Linked DNA regions of Macaca mulatta. The main gene of each other region encodes a partner of the protein of the gene in region 2 in a complex. Links are inferred from orthologs where the notes say so. Each region holds a gene or a part of one and is shown on either strand. Other genes may lie near its edges. The genes, in order: PRKAB2, PRKAA2 and PRKAB1.

Region 1 (4,669 bases), about 65 Mb from region 2:
CAGACAGAGCAACCTGGCTTTTAATCAGGACACCAATTACTGCAGTCACAGTTCAACAAATACACTGTATTTAAATCCTGAGTCATCAGCGTAGGAAAAGGGTAAAAATATAATGAGGCAGATCATCTTTCGAAAGCTTTGAATAAGTAAATTCAGATGGCTTGTAGATAGCCCAAATAAGAATGGAGAATAAACACCAATAAGTGCTCCTTTTAATCACTCTCACTTCTCTGTGATTATGGTTTTTTTTTTTTTTTTTTTTCTTTTGAGACAGTCTCACTCTGTGGCCCAGGCTGGAGTGCAGTGACTGGATCTCCACTCACTGCAGCCACCACCTCCCAGGTTCAAGCGATTCTCCTGCCTCAGCCTCCCGAGTAGCTGGGACTACAGGCATGCACCACCACGCCCAGCTAATTTTTTTGTATTTTTAGTAGAGACCGGGTTTCACCATGTTGGTCAAGCTGGTCTCGAACTCCTGACCTCAAATGATCCAACGGCCTCGGCCTCCCAAAGTGCTGTGATTACAGGCGTGATCCACCGCGCCCGGCTGTGACGATGTTATCAATTGAGATCCAAGGAAATAAATCATGGAATCCAAATTCCACGTGCTACCAATATGACAAATAATACTCTATTCACTCTCTAAAGCCCCAGTTCCCTGGGAAGTGACGAAATGATAGGAAACATCAAACACACCCCAATCTCCTCAAGCCCTCCATTTTTCTATCTCATCCAGTCAGTCTACCTGGAGAAACTACATGTATTTCATGCTGACAGCTCTAAAAGCGATTAGAAACATTAGAATGGTAATCGCTGCTATCAGCTCCATCTGTCCTTTCTTACAGAGTGAAAAAACAAGTTGGCTCTTCCTGAAAGTCCTTGGAATTGAGAGCAAGGTCTTCAAGGCAGCTATGGATTGTCGCTTTTTAGCCACGCAACATTTTGAAGTACTACTGGAGAGTAAACAAGTCGTGGAATCATTGGCTCTTCCACCTGCGGAGCAGCAGCGGGGCGTGAAAGAGGCACAGCCTCAGCCACCACAACTATAAAGTATGGGACAAAAATTAAGCAGTCAACCAAATGATGTCCTTAATTGATCCCCAAGACTAGGGGAAAGTATTCAATAAGCAAGTAGTTGCTGCTTACAGCCGTGCCAAAAGGGAAGAAGATCACAAGTGCAGAGCTGCTAGAAGGGCAAAAATGATACTGATACATAGAAATTTTCAGAAAAAGAATTTCATGTAGCCACCTCAGGGCAAAGGTGAGAAACTACCACCTATGGTCAGCAACTCGTGCAACCTACCCTCTGAAGTTGTCCACCAGGGCTAACAAACTACAAATTCAGCAACGCTATAGAGGAGAGCCACTCGTGCATGTTAGGAAGAACCAAGGATCGGGGATGTCTATTGTCCCCATCCTAAAAATGTGGCCAACAGATTAGTCAGAACACCAGGAAAACAAGAACTCCGCCTCTTTATCCTATTTTGAGGCGGCACTGCAAGAGGGATTACCATCCAACACCTCTGTCCCCGAAAAATCCTTTTAATTCAAAAAACCATAGCCCGGTTCGGCGCGGCAGAAAAGAACCAAGAAAGGGAAGAGGAGCCCGGAAATCAACCCGCTGCAGTACTGCCACCAACTGCGGGCGTGGGACGCTTACCTTGGAGTCGGGGAGGCTGAACACGCTGGGGTCGTCCGTACTGCCCACCATGATCTTGTGCTCCTTCCCCGGGGCATGACCGCCTGCGCCCTCGGAGCGTGCAGCCTTGGCACCGTGGCGCTCCCCGGACACCCGGTCGCTGGTGGTGTTTCCCATGGCTGCAGCTCGTCGGGGACCACCTACCGCGGAGAACCACACCGGGCTGGGAACACCTCAGTAGCCGCGTCAGGGGCGCCCCCCGGCCCCGCCCATACGCCTTGGGACGGGGCAAGGGATTTCCCCGCCCCAGGGAGGCCAAGCCCCGGAGCCTTCTCCCTCCTGGCCTGCGGGAATGCCTGCAAATACCCCGGTGCCCTCGCTGCCCCTAGTCAGGAAACCCGCTATCGGGACTCCCCCGCGTCCCCGCGCTCACTGCCAGGGGCGCCCCCACGCCAGTCACCTCGGGCGATGCGCTCCCTCCTCCAGGGACCACTGAAGTGATGACTGTTCTGCAGATCAGGCCACCAATAAAGTTATTGAAATTGAAGCCGCACCCCTCGCTGGCGATCAGCGATTCCTCCTAAAATGGCTACAAGGCCGGCGGCGCGGAGTCGGCCCCGTGCGCGTTCCCTGCGGCCTGCAGCCTCGGCGTCCCGGGCCCGCCGGCCTCTCTAGCCGCCGCCGCCTCGATGGTGGGCAGTCGCACGCAGCCTCCAGCGCCAGGAGGGGGCGCCAGGCAGGGCTTGTGCCGCCTGGGGAGACTGCACCCGGGATAATTGGAGCGCTGGGCCTCTGAGACTACCCGGCGGAAGGGACGTTCCCACAGGACACTCGGAGGCCGCCTCCCTGGGCTCCGGCGCTCGGTGCCGGGAGAAGCGACGCGGCTTTCTACCCCGCCTCAGGTGCGCCAGCACGTTTTCTGGGCAGCATCTGTGTGTTAGGCGACGGGAGAGGGGGGTTCCTTACAGGGAATAAGAAAACTGAAACTGACTTCCAACTGCAGGCAGAAGGAAGCAATGGCCATTGCTGGAGGTTAAAACTGTTCTGGCCGGGCGCGGTGGCTCACGCCTGTAATCCCGGCACTTTGGGAGGCCTAGGCGAGCGGATCACGAGATCAGGAGATCAAGACCATCCTGGCCAACAAGTTGAAACCTGGTCTCTACTAAAAGTACAAAAATTAGCTGGGCGTGGTGGCGCGCGCCGGAAGTCTCAGCTACTGGGGAGGATGAGGCAGGAGAATAGCTTGAACCCGGGAGGTGGAGGTTGCAGTGAGCCGAGATCGCGCCACTGCACTCCAGCCTGGCGACCGAGCGACACTCCGTCCCTCCGCCTCCCCGCCCCCCCCCCACAAGAAAAACCTGCTCAATAGGGAGCGACAAGGAAGGAGCTGTCAGCCCGACTGGGGTCGCAGGGAAAATTCAAGATGGCGTATTTAGGAGCTAGACCTTGACAAATTAGTAAAATGTTAGTCTTAGGAGAATAACGAAAAGGCTTTCCTAGTCTAAGAAACAGCATATGCAGTGAGAAACCTCAGAAGAAATAAAATTCAAGGAAGATGGCGACAACGAAAACATCAGAAGGAACCCTAAAGGTATAAAAAAGGCAAAGACAGTCGTAGGGTTGGGAGGGATCCAGGTTTTTTATGAAAATTAGTGGAATCCCTAAGGTACTTACCTTTGTATTAGAAGTATTTGCATGTCGCCTTCTCTACTAGAAACGTTTATCTGTGTTACACAGACCAGCAGCGTTGGCATCACCTGGGAGCCTGTTAGAAATGTAGAATCAGGCCCCATCCCCAGGGTTCAGAATCTGCATTTTAACAAGATCACATTAACGTGTGTGAGAAGCAATGCTTTGACAGCTGGCAGAGAGCAGATCCAGATTTGATACCTTTTCATATTCTGCATGTACCTTGTACAGAGCAGGCTTTTGTATTTGCGGAATGAAGGATACAGGAATACTGTTTACTGTAATCCATTTCTATCAAGATATGCCACTTAGGCTTAAACACGGCCAATGATGGAGAACCCCAAGTTACATAGGCCACCCTTTCTGAGTGAGCAGCTCTATTTGTTGAAAAGTTCATTTTTATATTATGAAGTTGACAGCCCACTTAAGTACAACAAATTCACTACTCCCCCATTCTTTGCTCTGCCCCTTATAAACTCATTCTTTGGCTCATAAACCGAAGACAGTTTACAGGAAGGAAAAAAAAAAGGTACGATTTTACTGCAACTTCTTGCTCACCCCTCTGAAATCTTTACTGTCTGAGTACATTCTTTTTGGTTATCCCTACCTTTCTCCCTCCACCCCTCAATTCCTTACCATAGGACACTGAAGCAAGGCCCTTCAAGGTGTGATACATTAAACCTTGACTTGTGTAGTATTCAGTTTTCTGACCCCAAGGTGGTTTCACCATGCCAAATAATATGTCCTTGGTATGTATTTCCTTGCAGTAGTGAAATCAGCTTAGCAGAAACAAACTAACTATGTTAGCCAATGGAAAACTGAAGGAGAGAAATAAACTGTTTTTACACAGCTAAATGGAAATGACTTTTGTATTATCTCCTTTGGAAGATTATCCATGACACTGTTCTGCCCTGCTCTGCTCTAACAACATTTGTAAGTTACTCAACAGTTAATAATAAAAGTCAATTTTGAATATTGCATGTTTTAGACACAGAACAAATGTAATATGACACTGTAGGAAGAATGAATTCTCCTTAGTCCCAAATTCCTTTTTTTTTCTTAGATTCAGGAATAAGTAGGTAAAGATACAAGATCTTCTTAACCAGTATCAGTATAATTGTTCCCTTTAGATTTATTGCTGTCACCCCAATGCTCTTCTTTCTTTTTTTTTTTTTTTTTTTGAGACGGAGTCTCCCTCTGTCGCCCAGCCCAGGCTGGAGTGCAGTGGCGCGATCTCGGCTCACTGTAAGCTCCGCCTCCCGGGTTCACGCCATTCTCCTGCCTCAGCCTCCCGAGTAGCTGGGACTACAGGCGCCCACAACCGCGCCCGGCTAATTTTTT
Region 2 (4,569 bases):
GTTTCAGTGTTTTAGAAGCACAGTTCTCTTCCTTCCAACAATCATAACAAACATCGCTACCAATCACAACACGTGCACACAGCCAAAATGTGGCCTCTAAGTCCTTCTCAAATCGGAGTATTGGGCATTGATACTGGCATCAATCAAACTGATATCTCTTCATGTGAAGAAAGCGTATCCTTGACAACTTATTTTCTTCTAGCATATCAACAAAAAAAATCATTAAGGTAAAAATAAAAGTTACCATCATATATTGCCTTGGGGAAGTGGGGGGCAAAGTGAGAGAAATCTTGTTAAAACTGCAGATTCTACGATTCCCAGGACCAAAACACAGGGATCTGTGTTTTAATAACAACATGTAATTTCGATGAAAGAGGTCTGGGATCCATATAAACACTACCGTACATATTTGATGGTAGTTCAAGAGTAAAATTTAAATACTTTGTTTAAAACAACTTCCCTAACTCTAAACTCAGTTCCATTTTTGTTCCATCCAGCACCTGACCCTCAGTTTATTCTGGTTTTATCCCACTTGGGCCTCTGAAATGAATAATCAGATTTGGTTTACCCAAGTTTAATTCTTAGCACACACTAAGTTCTTGGACATGACAATTTTCCCTGATGCCTCTGGCTCCTTGATTGCCATGAGTACCTAAATCCAACCCAAATCCCAATGGAGACCTATTTGGTCACCCTGGCCACCCAGGATGAGGAAAGGTGATGAAGGGGAAAGTTTAGACACTACAATACTAACTAATAAAATATGAATGGAGAAATGTGACAAAGAATCTGACAAATCAGTTAATTTTAAAAAGTGAAACCTACTTCCCTATTGTTCCTTACTTGTGCTCCATGGCCAATACTTCAAATGATTCTTTTATGCCACGGAGATACTTCTTGTGGAAAGATGCCAGGTAAGAGGTATTCAACATGTCTTTCATCCTTTTCACTTCACTTACATTTTGGTTAAGTCTAAGATTACTTAAAAACCAGTGCATGACCTACCCACCGGATGTCTTCGAGATGATTTTAACATCTGGTCAACTAGTGCCAAGTTTTATCTTCTCAGAGCTCATGCAATGCATAGCTTCCTTACCATCAATGCTTTTAAAGTCCAAAAGATAGCTCCTGTTATCAACCAGGTAAAGTTGTAAGCTCATTTTCACGTAATTGCCAGTCACTGGATTTTTTCTTCTTACACGAAGATGGTATGCATTCACTACCTAAAGTGAAAAATCAATAAAAATAATCAACTACAAAATATCTCCCTTTTTATGCAAAAAAAGGTCAAAATAAGTAATTAATAGGGGTGAGATAGGAAAGGAATATCTGAATAATTTTTTTATATTACTGGTAGTTTACTTCAGTATTTATTTAATCCCCACTAGCAGTATTGTATGGCAATTAAGATTTAAAGGAAAAGCTACTTGAATAAATTTGGGGTACTGAAGAAAAAAGTGAAATATAAAAGAAAAAGAGAACCCAGAGATTACATCGGGTCTAGCTTTCACTCTAGATAAGCATCAACTCTAAAACATCAATTATAATTTGGTTGCCCAGTCTCTGCTTGAACCATGTTCATGGATGCTTGTGGAGTAGAAGGAACAAAGAGGACCAGGCATGGTGGCTCATGCCTGTAATTCCAACACTTTGGGAGGCAAAAGTGGGTGGACTGCCTGAGCCCAGGAGCTTGAGACCGGCCTGGGCAACATGGTAAAACCCCATCTCTACAAAAGCATACCAAAAAAATCAGCTGAGTGTGGTGGCAGGCGCCTGTAGTCCCAGCTACGAGGGAAGCTGAGGTGAGAGGATAGCCTGACCCTGGGTTGCAGTGAGCCAAGACTGCACCACTGCACTCCAGCCTGGGCAATAGAGTGAGACTCTGTCTCAAAAAAACAAACAAACAACAACAACAAAACAAACAAACAAAAAAACACTGCATTGAAGGTTCTGGATTTTCAAAACATCTGTGGTACTAGTTTCAAAAATGTTTCAGTACAGAATTTTAAAAATGTTAACATTTCTTTTTTAACTAAATACGACTGCTTCAAAACAAAGAGATCTGTTTTTTAAATGATTTTAAGAAAATATTTATTTCATGTACAGATAATAAAATGAAAATGACTGATTTATTTGAACATGTCAAATGCATATTTATGTGGTAATTTTGCACATTTTTCTTCTTCCTTTAAAAGTTCACAATCCTCAAGAAAAGAACAAGAGTGAAAGGCATATCCGAAGAAAAAAATGCCCCTCCCCACACATATATTCAAATAGAACTGAAATGAAATTGAGCACTAATTTTTAAGAAAAGCAAACTGTGGCGTGAGAGTAAGGAAAATATACTATAAGTATTAAAAGCACTAGCCAAATAAGAGAGAATATCACAACTTGGAGAAAAGTGTTAATTGACTGAATAAATATGTCCTGATATAATTTGTACTGACCACTAGCTATTACAACCACCTGCCTCTGTTCCCTAAAAAGAAAAGAAAAAAAAAACCTCCCTAAAAAAAAGAGAAAGTAAAAACATACTATCTTTGAAGACACTCATGATTTTTCATTGCTATGATGTATGCTGAAACTGGTAAGCTATTTTCTCAGAAGGTTTCTAGTTGATTCCTTTTTTTCTTGACCAAGAACACTGCTATAATTCAAAATATGTTGGTTCCCAGTATCAACCACTTTTCATCCTTACAGAGGTTATTTGTTTTGTTTTTAATGTGCATGGCATATTACTAGAAAAAGATGGGCTTAATACTCAACTCAGGAGCTCAGAGCAGCTTACAATATAGAAAAATGACTTCTACAAATGATCTTATTACATTATAATTTCCTACCTTCCATTCAAAATCCAGCTGCTTCATAGCTCGGTAAACTTCAGCCATAATGTCATATGGTTTGCTCTGACTTCGGATTCCAAGATGCCACTTGGCTTTTTTCACGGCTAAAGATTTGGGCTTAGTCGTATTCAGTGCATCCAATGGACATCTTGCCTTGGGGCTGTCTGCTATAAGAGGTGGCATCCTTTCTGGATGAGGCTTCAGGCCTGGGGGAATATGCATGGCACTATCATCCATAAAAGAACCAGACGGAGGACTAGAGGCGAGGTAGAACTCACTGGCTTGGTTCATTATTCTCCGATTGTCAATGATAAGATGATAAGCCACTGCAAGCTGGTCTTGAGGGTCACCACTATATAAACTGTTCATTACTTCTGATTCTGTACATTCAAATTTTTCACACACTTCTTTCACAGCCTCATCATCAATGACGTTAGCATCATAGGAAGGGTCTTCAGGAAATAAGTAACTGGGCAAATCTTGTTTAAACCATTCATGCTCTCTAGGAAAAACACCACAATACACTATTGTAAGACACGCTTTGGCAAGTCCAAATAATTTAGACATAGGGCAACATAATAGAATATAATCAAAAGATCTGGTCTCTAGACCTAGCTCTGCCACTTACTAGCTATGTGATCCTAAGCAAGTTAATTACCCACTACCCTTGAATAACTATGGTTATTAAGACTTGGCATTTGGCCGACATTTTCTCAAAAATGAAAAAAGCGAGCCCATCGCTTTAAGGAAAACAACCAGCAATATTTGTTGCTAATGATAAAATTCAAGCTTTCAAGCAAAACTTTAGTATGATTTGTATGAGTTTCACAGCTTCTCAATACTTAAAGACTTTCTGATAAAGTTGGTGTTAATAATAATAAATACACTTTTTTTCTTTCCCAACCACTTATCTGAGTGAGGTCAGACCTTCTTTATACACTTCAACTAATACAAAATAATGCAACAGATTGAATGAAGAAGGTATGAGAACCTAGCTGTCTTTGATATAAAGTCATTCTTCTCACAATTTTTTTTGGAAAATATGGTGATTTTTCATGAAAGATGTATTATTTAACATGTAGTAGGTTTATAGTTATTTTTAAGTAAATTAAATATTTTCTTAATTTCTCAGTTTTAATTCTAATACAGTAAATATTGATAGATATAACCTGCATTTTTAAAAATTCCCCTTGAGGTCCTCAATAAGTTTTAAGAGTTACAAGATTTTAAAATCAAAAATTTTGAGAACTGCTCTCCTAAGCCTTATTTTCCCACACTTCTGGGCCTTTGCGCTTGATGTTACTATTGTTATCCTAGAATATCAAACTATTTTCATCTAACACAAACTACTCCTTCGAGATTGTTCAGGCATTACTACCTGGTAGAATTGGGCATCCCGTAAGTTCAGATGAAGACATATTTTGACTGAATGTCTTCTATTCACTGATTAATTTATTTTTGAATATTTACTGAGGACATACTATGGATAAAAAGAAACATTCCTCACAAAGATTATATTTTAGCTGAATAGAGATTAAACAAATATACATAAAATATAGTTACAAATATACAAATATGCAAATCCTGTGATAAAGATTGCAAAAGAAATTGCATAGAGTAAAATGAGAGTATATAATTTACAACGAGAGGCAAGTGATCAAGGAAGCCACTCTGAGTAATATTTAAGCAGACACTAGAATGATCTGAAGTCAATTATGCAAAGAGT
Region 3 (4,669 bases), on a different chromosome or scaffold from region 2:
TTCTTTTCTTTATAAATTACCCAGTCTCGGGTATGTCTACATAGCAGCCTGAGAATAGACTAGCAGACTAGGTTTGTGTAAGTACACTCTACGATGTTCACACAATGATAAAATCACCTAATGATGTATTTCTCAGAACATGTCCCTGTCATTAAGTGATGTATGACTGTACATGAAAATTTAAGAGGAACAATTCTAGAGCTGTCAACCTGAAAATGGGCAAATTCAGATTTTGAGGATGGGGAAAAACTGCTCACAAAGTTCTGTCTAGGGACTGGGGAATAAAGCAAGACAAAGACTGAACCCTCATTAGGATAAAGGATAACCTCGTGTGGTAAGTTCCGTATAACTGAGGTATTCCAGAATAAGAAACTCATCCAACTCTACCTGGATGACATATGTAGTCATGCACCTTTTAGATTTTTTCCTAGTCAGGAGCCAAAGACTTAAAAAGAGCAGAGGGTTCTGGCTGGAAGACTCTTTAGGGAGTTAAGCAGGCTTCCAGCCCCTTCCTTTCAAATACCTCAGCTTATCCAAATGATGCCTGCATTCGCTGAATTCTAACAAGATCTACATATTAAATAACAGACTGGAATCACTTCACACTAAGAATAACTATACCCAAAATAGCGCACTAGTGTAATTAAAAGAATTCACGACTTTTTTGGTATCTGGGGATTTCAGTAACTTCTAATGAAGTGAGAATGGACGCTGCTTGAAATCATTCCCCATAGATTATGTGTGTGCTCAACATTTGCTGGAGGTGTTTTGGAATAGTAAAAGAACAAATACTTCTTGAAGAAAGTAGTTCTTTCTTTGGTGAAGAAAGACACCAAAGTAGTTTGATTCTTTTGGTGTCTTAAATAGCCTTCTTGGGACCAGGGACCAAAATTACTTCCTGGGGAAAGGACGTCATTAGAGAAACATGATTCTAAAGTTCACTTTGCACACAGCTCTTCAAGAATGCAACAAATTCAGAAAGCAAGTTCAAACCACAGGTTGCAGGCCCACATAAAAGCAGGCTTCTTGTAGTTAGGCTCAAAACAGATCCAAAAGAAGGTGTGAGATGTGATCACCTCGCTCAACATGAGGACAAACACAGATGGAATGAGTTGCCAGGCAATTAAATGGATGATGATTAACATGAAATTGGATACTAATAGGTATGTTGGGCAGAGGGCAGCTTTATCTTTCCCAAACCTACTTTGTTCCTTGAAACAATTAGTTCCTTTCGGACATAACACATAAATACCATTAAATGTCCTTGGACTGAACCCTGAGGCTGGAAATATCCACCATATGAAGGTGGTTAACAGGAGTGTGGCTGAAGCAGGAGTCAAATCACCTGAGCTTTTGATGAATTTAAACAGGCTGCAGCAGGAAGAAAAATGTTTGCACTGGCCTACTTCAGCGCGATTAAGTCATATTTAAACAACACTAGAGGGAAGTTCAGTGGCTGCTGGCTGCCTCCTTCCAACAGACCCTCATTACCCACTGACCTCTGTAAGTCCAAAGACTTTTCTATGTACGCTTTAAAAAAAAAAAAAAAAGCAGGGTGAGGCTGGGAGTGGTGGCTCATGCCTGTAATCCCAGCACTTTGAGCGGCCCACGCGGGCGGATCGCTTGAGGTCAGGAGTTCAAGACTAACCTGGGCAACATGGTGACACCCCACCTCTACCAAAAATACACAAAATTAGCCGGGCATGGTGGCTCACACCTGTAGTCCCAGCTACTCGGGAGGCTGAGGCAGGATGGCTTGAGCCCAGGAGACGAAGGTTGCAGTGCGCCGAGATTGTGGTTCTACCCTCCAGCCTGGGCAAGAGAGCGAGACTCTGTCTCAAAAAAAATTAAAAAAATAAATAAATAAATAAAAATAACTAGGGCGAATCAAGTGTTGGGCAGAACTAAACACCTCTGGCAACCGCCGTCAGCTGTTCCGCTCAACTTTCAGCTTGTATATGTACCTGGTTTGCCTCCAAAATGGATAATAAACTCCCAAACTAACTTTTACAAAAGTTCCAGTTTGTGTAAAGGTGAGAGAATTTGTCTCAAAGCGGTGAAATTAATTACACCTAAGAAAAGCAGAAGCTAGGTTCAATTACTGTTAGCTGACTCTGAATTAATTAAGAATTTGAAACTGTCCCAGAGCTGCTTTCTCCTTAATGCTGTTAAACGAAGTGAGTGCCTCCTCCCTCAGGGTGACTTTCTCATATTGGTAATTAGACTTAGGTTCTTGGACCGCTAAGAGGACTCTTACAGGACCATCTGGCTTTTAAGTGCACCGGGTAATGTACCACCTCCCTCCCCGTTCTGGTGGTTTTCGAAAAGATGTGACGGTAATCTAGTGGAGGGTTTCTCTCCTCAACATTAGTCAAGGGGAATCGGATTCCTGCACACTGCTCGCACCTTGATTTCCTCGGAGTGGAAGAGGTCGGCGTCTTCGGGGCTGTCCATCAGGATCTTGGGCCTGTCCCCGTCCTTGGTGCCCCCCGAGCTGTCCCTCCGGGGCGTCTTATGGCCACCATGCCGCTCCAGCGCGGCGCGCTCACTGCTCGTGTTGCCCATGATGAGGGTCTGCGGGGACACTGGGAAGCCGGACGGAGCCTCACTGCAGGAAAGGGACCCTGTGCAAGGGACTCCCAGAACCGCGGGTCCCAAGGAGCCTGCGGAAGGGAATCGGAGCACCGGGATACCACGCCCCTCGGGCTCGGGCCGGGAGCCGGTTCTAGCCGAGTCAGCAGCGTTGCCGAGTTCTCGCAATCGCGCTTTACCTGCCCAGGCAAGCTGTGGCGAGAACACAAGGAGCGCGAAAATAAACCGACACTTTCCCAACCGCTCCACCACCCCTCAGCGACTTCCGCTTCCGGCTACTCCTTAAGTCGGCCCGGCCTAGGGCGTGGTAGTGGCGGCGGCCGGCTAAACGCGCGAGGCTATCTAGATTCCATTTCCGCTTCCGGTCTTGAGCGGTGCGGTAACAGGTGCCCCGAGGCTGTCTCTGCAGGTCTCAGAGCGCGCAGTCGCAGTCGGCAGCCGGCCGCTCAGGGCCCGGCCCGGGACCAGGCGCTGCCGAGTGCCGGCAGGGGGCACCCCAGGGCGCCGGCAACCTGAGCCGTTCAAGCGCTGGGCTGAATAATGCCATTTAGATATATTTGCCCATTTTTAGTTGATTCTACACTCTACAGCCAGAGGGATCTTTCTAAAATGCAAATCTGATTCAGGAACTCCTCTTCTTAAAGCCCTTTTAGTGCACGTGCTCTCACGCTTTACAGTGCATTAGATTAACCTGGAGCGCTTGTTAAATGCAGCCCGCACTGCAGACCTGCAGAGAATCAAGATTTCTGAAGATTAGAGTCGGGGGTGCAGGCAGTCTTGCAGGTATTTGAGAAAATGGCAGACCATAAGATCTCTGGAAATTTTTTATGTCTAGTAGGTTGGGGGTTGTAAAATGCTGGAGTTATTAGTGTATTTTTATTGAGTGTGCAATCTTTTGATAGGTAATTTTGCAAGATATCTTGTAATCACTTCTGCAACATCCTTTTGCATAAGATGCATTAGCGTTTGTCATTTACTCTGGCCAGTGCTTCAACAAGAAGTGCATACAAATACGGTAGTAAAATATTCTCATCTTCTCACTGTCAGTCATTGTCATATTTTGTGGGTTTTATGGTGTGTGAATATCTCAAAATACTTTGCATTTGCCAGGTCAGGTCATGCATTTCACATACTGAACATTATTTAGTACCTAAAAAATTACCAGACATTGTGCTAAGGAAATGAGGAACACAAGATTACTAAGATAAGGTTTCTTGGAGAGAATTCGGCAGTATGCATCAAAATTAAAAAATGCACCTTCATTTTGACACACAATTTTACTCCTAGGAAACTTCTGCAGAAATACACACATGAAAATTATTTACAAGCATTATTTACAAAATATTTACATGCAAAAATATATTCTAAGATGCACCTGTCACCCACCATATCCCCATATATTTTAGTTTCTGAAATTGGATGCTTTTTACAATCAATGGAATCATAGACTTGGTGAAATAAGGAAATGAAAAACTACAAAATCCTAAAAGTTGTTCAGTAGAAGAATGGCAAAATGAACGGAATACATTCATTTTGTAGAATACCAAGCAACTTTTAAAAAGGAAGAAACAATTTTTCGGTCACTATGGGGAAGTGTCTATGATATTGCAAGGTCCAGGAGCAAGTGAGAGAACATGTTCAAGAGCGTGAGCTCTGAATTCAGCCTGCCCGGGTCAGATTCTGGCTTTACCATTTAGTAACTGTTACCTTAGTCTCTTTTGTGAAATGGGAATAAAAATAACACCTACTTTATAGGCTTGTTTTGTGAATTAATTGGAACGTGCATAAAAATGCTTAGCATAGCACTTGACTCTTAGTAAACACTCAATACCTGTTAGCACTTTTATTGGCACTATTAGGCTTGCAAATGGAAACTTCTGGAAGGGTATACAACACATTGTTAATAGTGGTCTTCTCTGGGGAGAGGAGGGAGATTGCAAATAGGAGTAGACAGAAAAGGGACTTTCACTTTTTCATTTATATAGGTCTGTATTTGAAAAATTTTCTACTGTGAGGATGTACTACTTTTTAATAAAAAAAATAAGATATGGTTCCAGCCCCAAAGGAATTAATATAG

The links.
Region 1: the proteins of PRKAA2 (region 2) and PRKAB2 are in contact, whole or in part, in a crystal structure (PDB 6B2E), measured with the Homo sapiens proteins. The link is inferred for Macaca mulatta from reciprocal best matches to the Homo sapiens genes PRKAA2 and PRKAB2. Residues at the interface, in NP_006243.2 of Homo sapiens: Gly9, Arg10, Val11, Lys12, Ile13, Thr21, Asn48, Arg49, Val58, Gln66, Gln81, Val82, Ile83, Ser84, Thr85, Pro86, Thr87, Asp88, Phe89, Met134, Met164, Ser165, Asp166, Gly167, Glu168, Phe169, Leu189, Ala191, Glu194, Pro253; in NP_005390.1 of Homo sapiens: Val60, Ser61, Gln64, Glu67, Asp68, Ser69, Thr73, Gln74, Ala76, Pro78, Thr79, Val80, Ile81, Arg82, Ile106, Ser108, Val113, Ile115, Val155, Ser158, Asp159, Phe160, Glu161, Phe163, Asp164, Lys167, Leu168, Gln191, Met193, Tyr194.
Region 3: the proteins of PRKAA2 (region 2) and PRKAB1 are in contact, whole or in part, in a crystal structure (PDB 8BIK), measured with the Homo sapiens proteins. The link is inferred for Macaca mulatta from reciprocal best matches to the Homo sapiens genes PRKAA2 and PRKAB1. Residues at the interface, in NP_006243.2 of Homo sapiens: Gly9, Val11, Lys12, Ile13, Thr21, Lys29, Lys31, Asn48, Arg49, Arg53, Asp56, Val58, Ile61, Lys62, Ile65, Gln66, Lys69, Val82, Ile83, Ser84, Thr85, Pro86, Thr87, Asp88, Phe89, Phe90, Met134, Met164, Ser165, Asp166; in NP_006244.2 of Homo sapiens: Pro79, Thr80, Val81, Arg83, Thr106, Ser108, Asn111, Val113, Ile115, Gln154, Val155, Asp159, Phe160, Glu161, Val162, Phe163, Ala165, Leu166, Asp169, Ser170, Lys172, Cys173, Pro186, Tyr187, His188, Gln189, Glu190, Pro191, Tyr192, Ala202.

Annotation. Positions count from the first base shown.
Region 1 is NC_133406.1:118,946,580-118,951,248, reverse strand, and holds the start of PRKAB2 (5'-AMP-activated protein kinase subunit beta-2), read right to left. Parts: upstream 3,450-4,669; 5' UTR 3,314-3,449; intron 2,146-3,313; exon of another isoform or gene 2,100-2,145; intron 1,840-2,099; 5' UTR 1,817-1,839; coding exon 1,661-1,816; intron 1-1,660. UniProt on the Homo sapiens protein: Non-catalytic subunit of AMP-activated protein kinase (AMPK), an energy sensor protein kinase that plays a key role in regulating cellular energy metabolism.
Region 2 is NC_133406.1:183,919,951-183,924,519, forward strand, and holds part of PRKAA2 (5'-AMP-activated protein kinase catalytic subunit alpha-2), read right to left. Parts: intron 3,346-4,569; coding exon 2,841-3,345; intron 1,224-2,840; coding exon 1,097-1,223; coding exon of another isoform or gene 1,041-1,096; exon of another isoform or gene 1,006-1,040; intron 1-1,005. UniProt on the Homo sapiens protein: Catalytic subunit of AMP-activated protein kinase (AMPK), an energy sensor protein kinase that plays a key role in regulating cellular energy metabolism.
Region 3 is NC_133416.1:126,945,982-126,950,650, reverse strand, and holds the start of PRKAB1 (5'-AMP-activated protein kinase subunit beta-1), read right to left. Parts: upstream 2,856-4,669; 5' UTR 2,566-2,855; coding exon 2,407-2,565; intron 1-2,406. UniProt on the Homo sapiens protein: Non-catalytic subunit of AMP-activated protein kinase (AMPK), an energy sensor protein kinase that plays a key role in regulating cellular energy metabolism.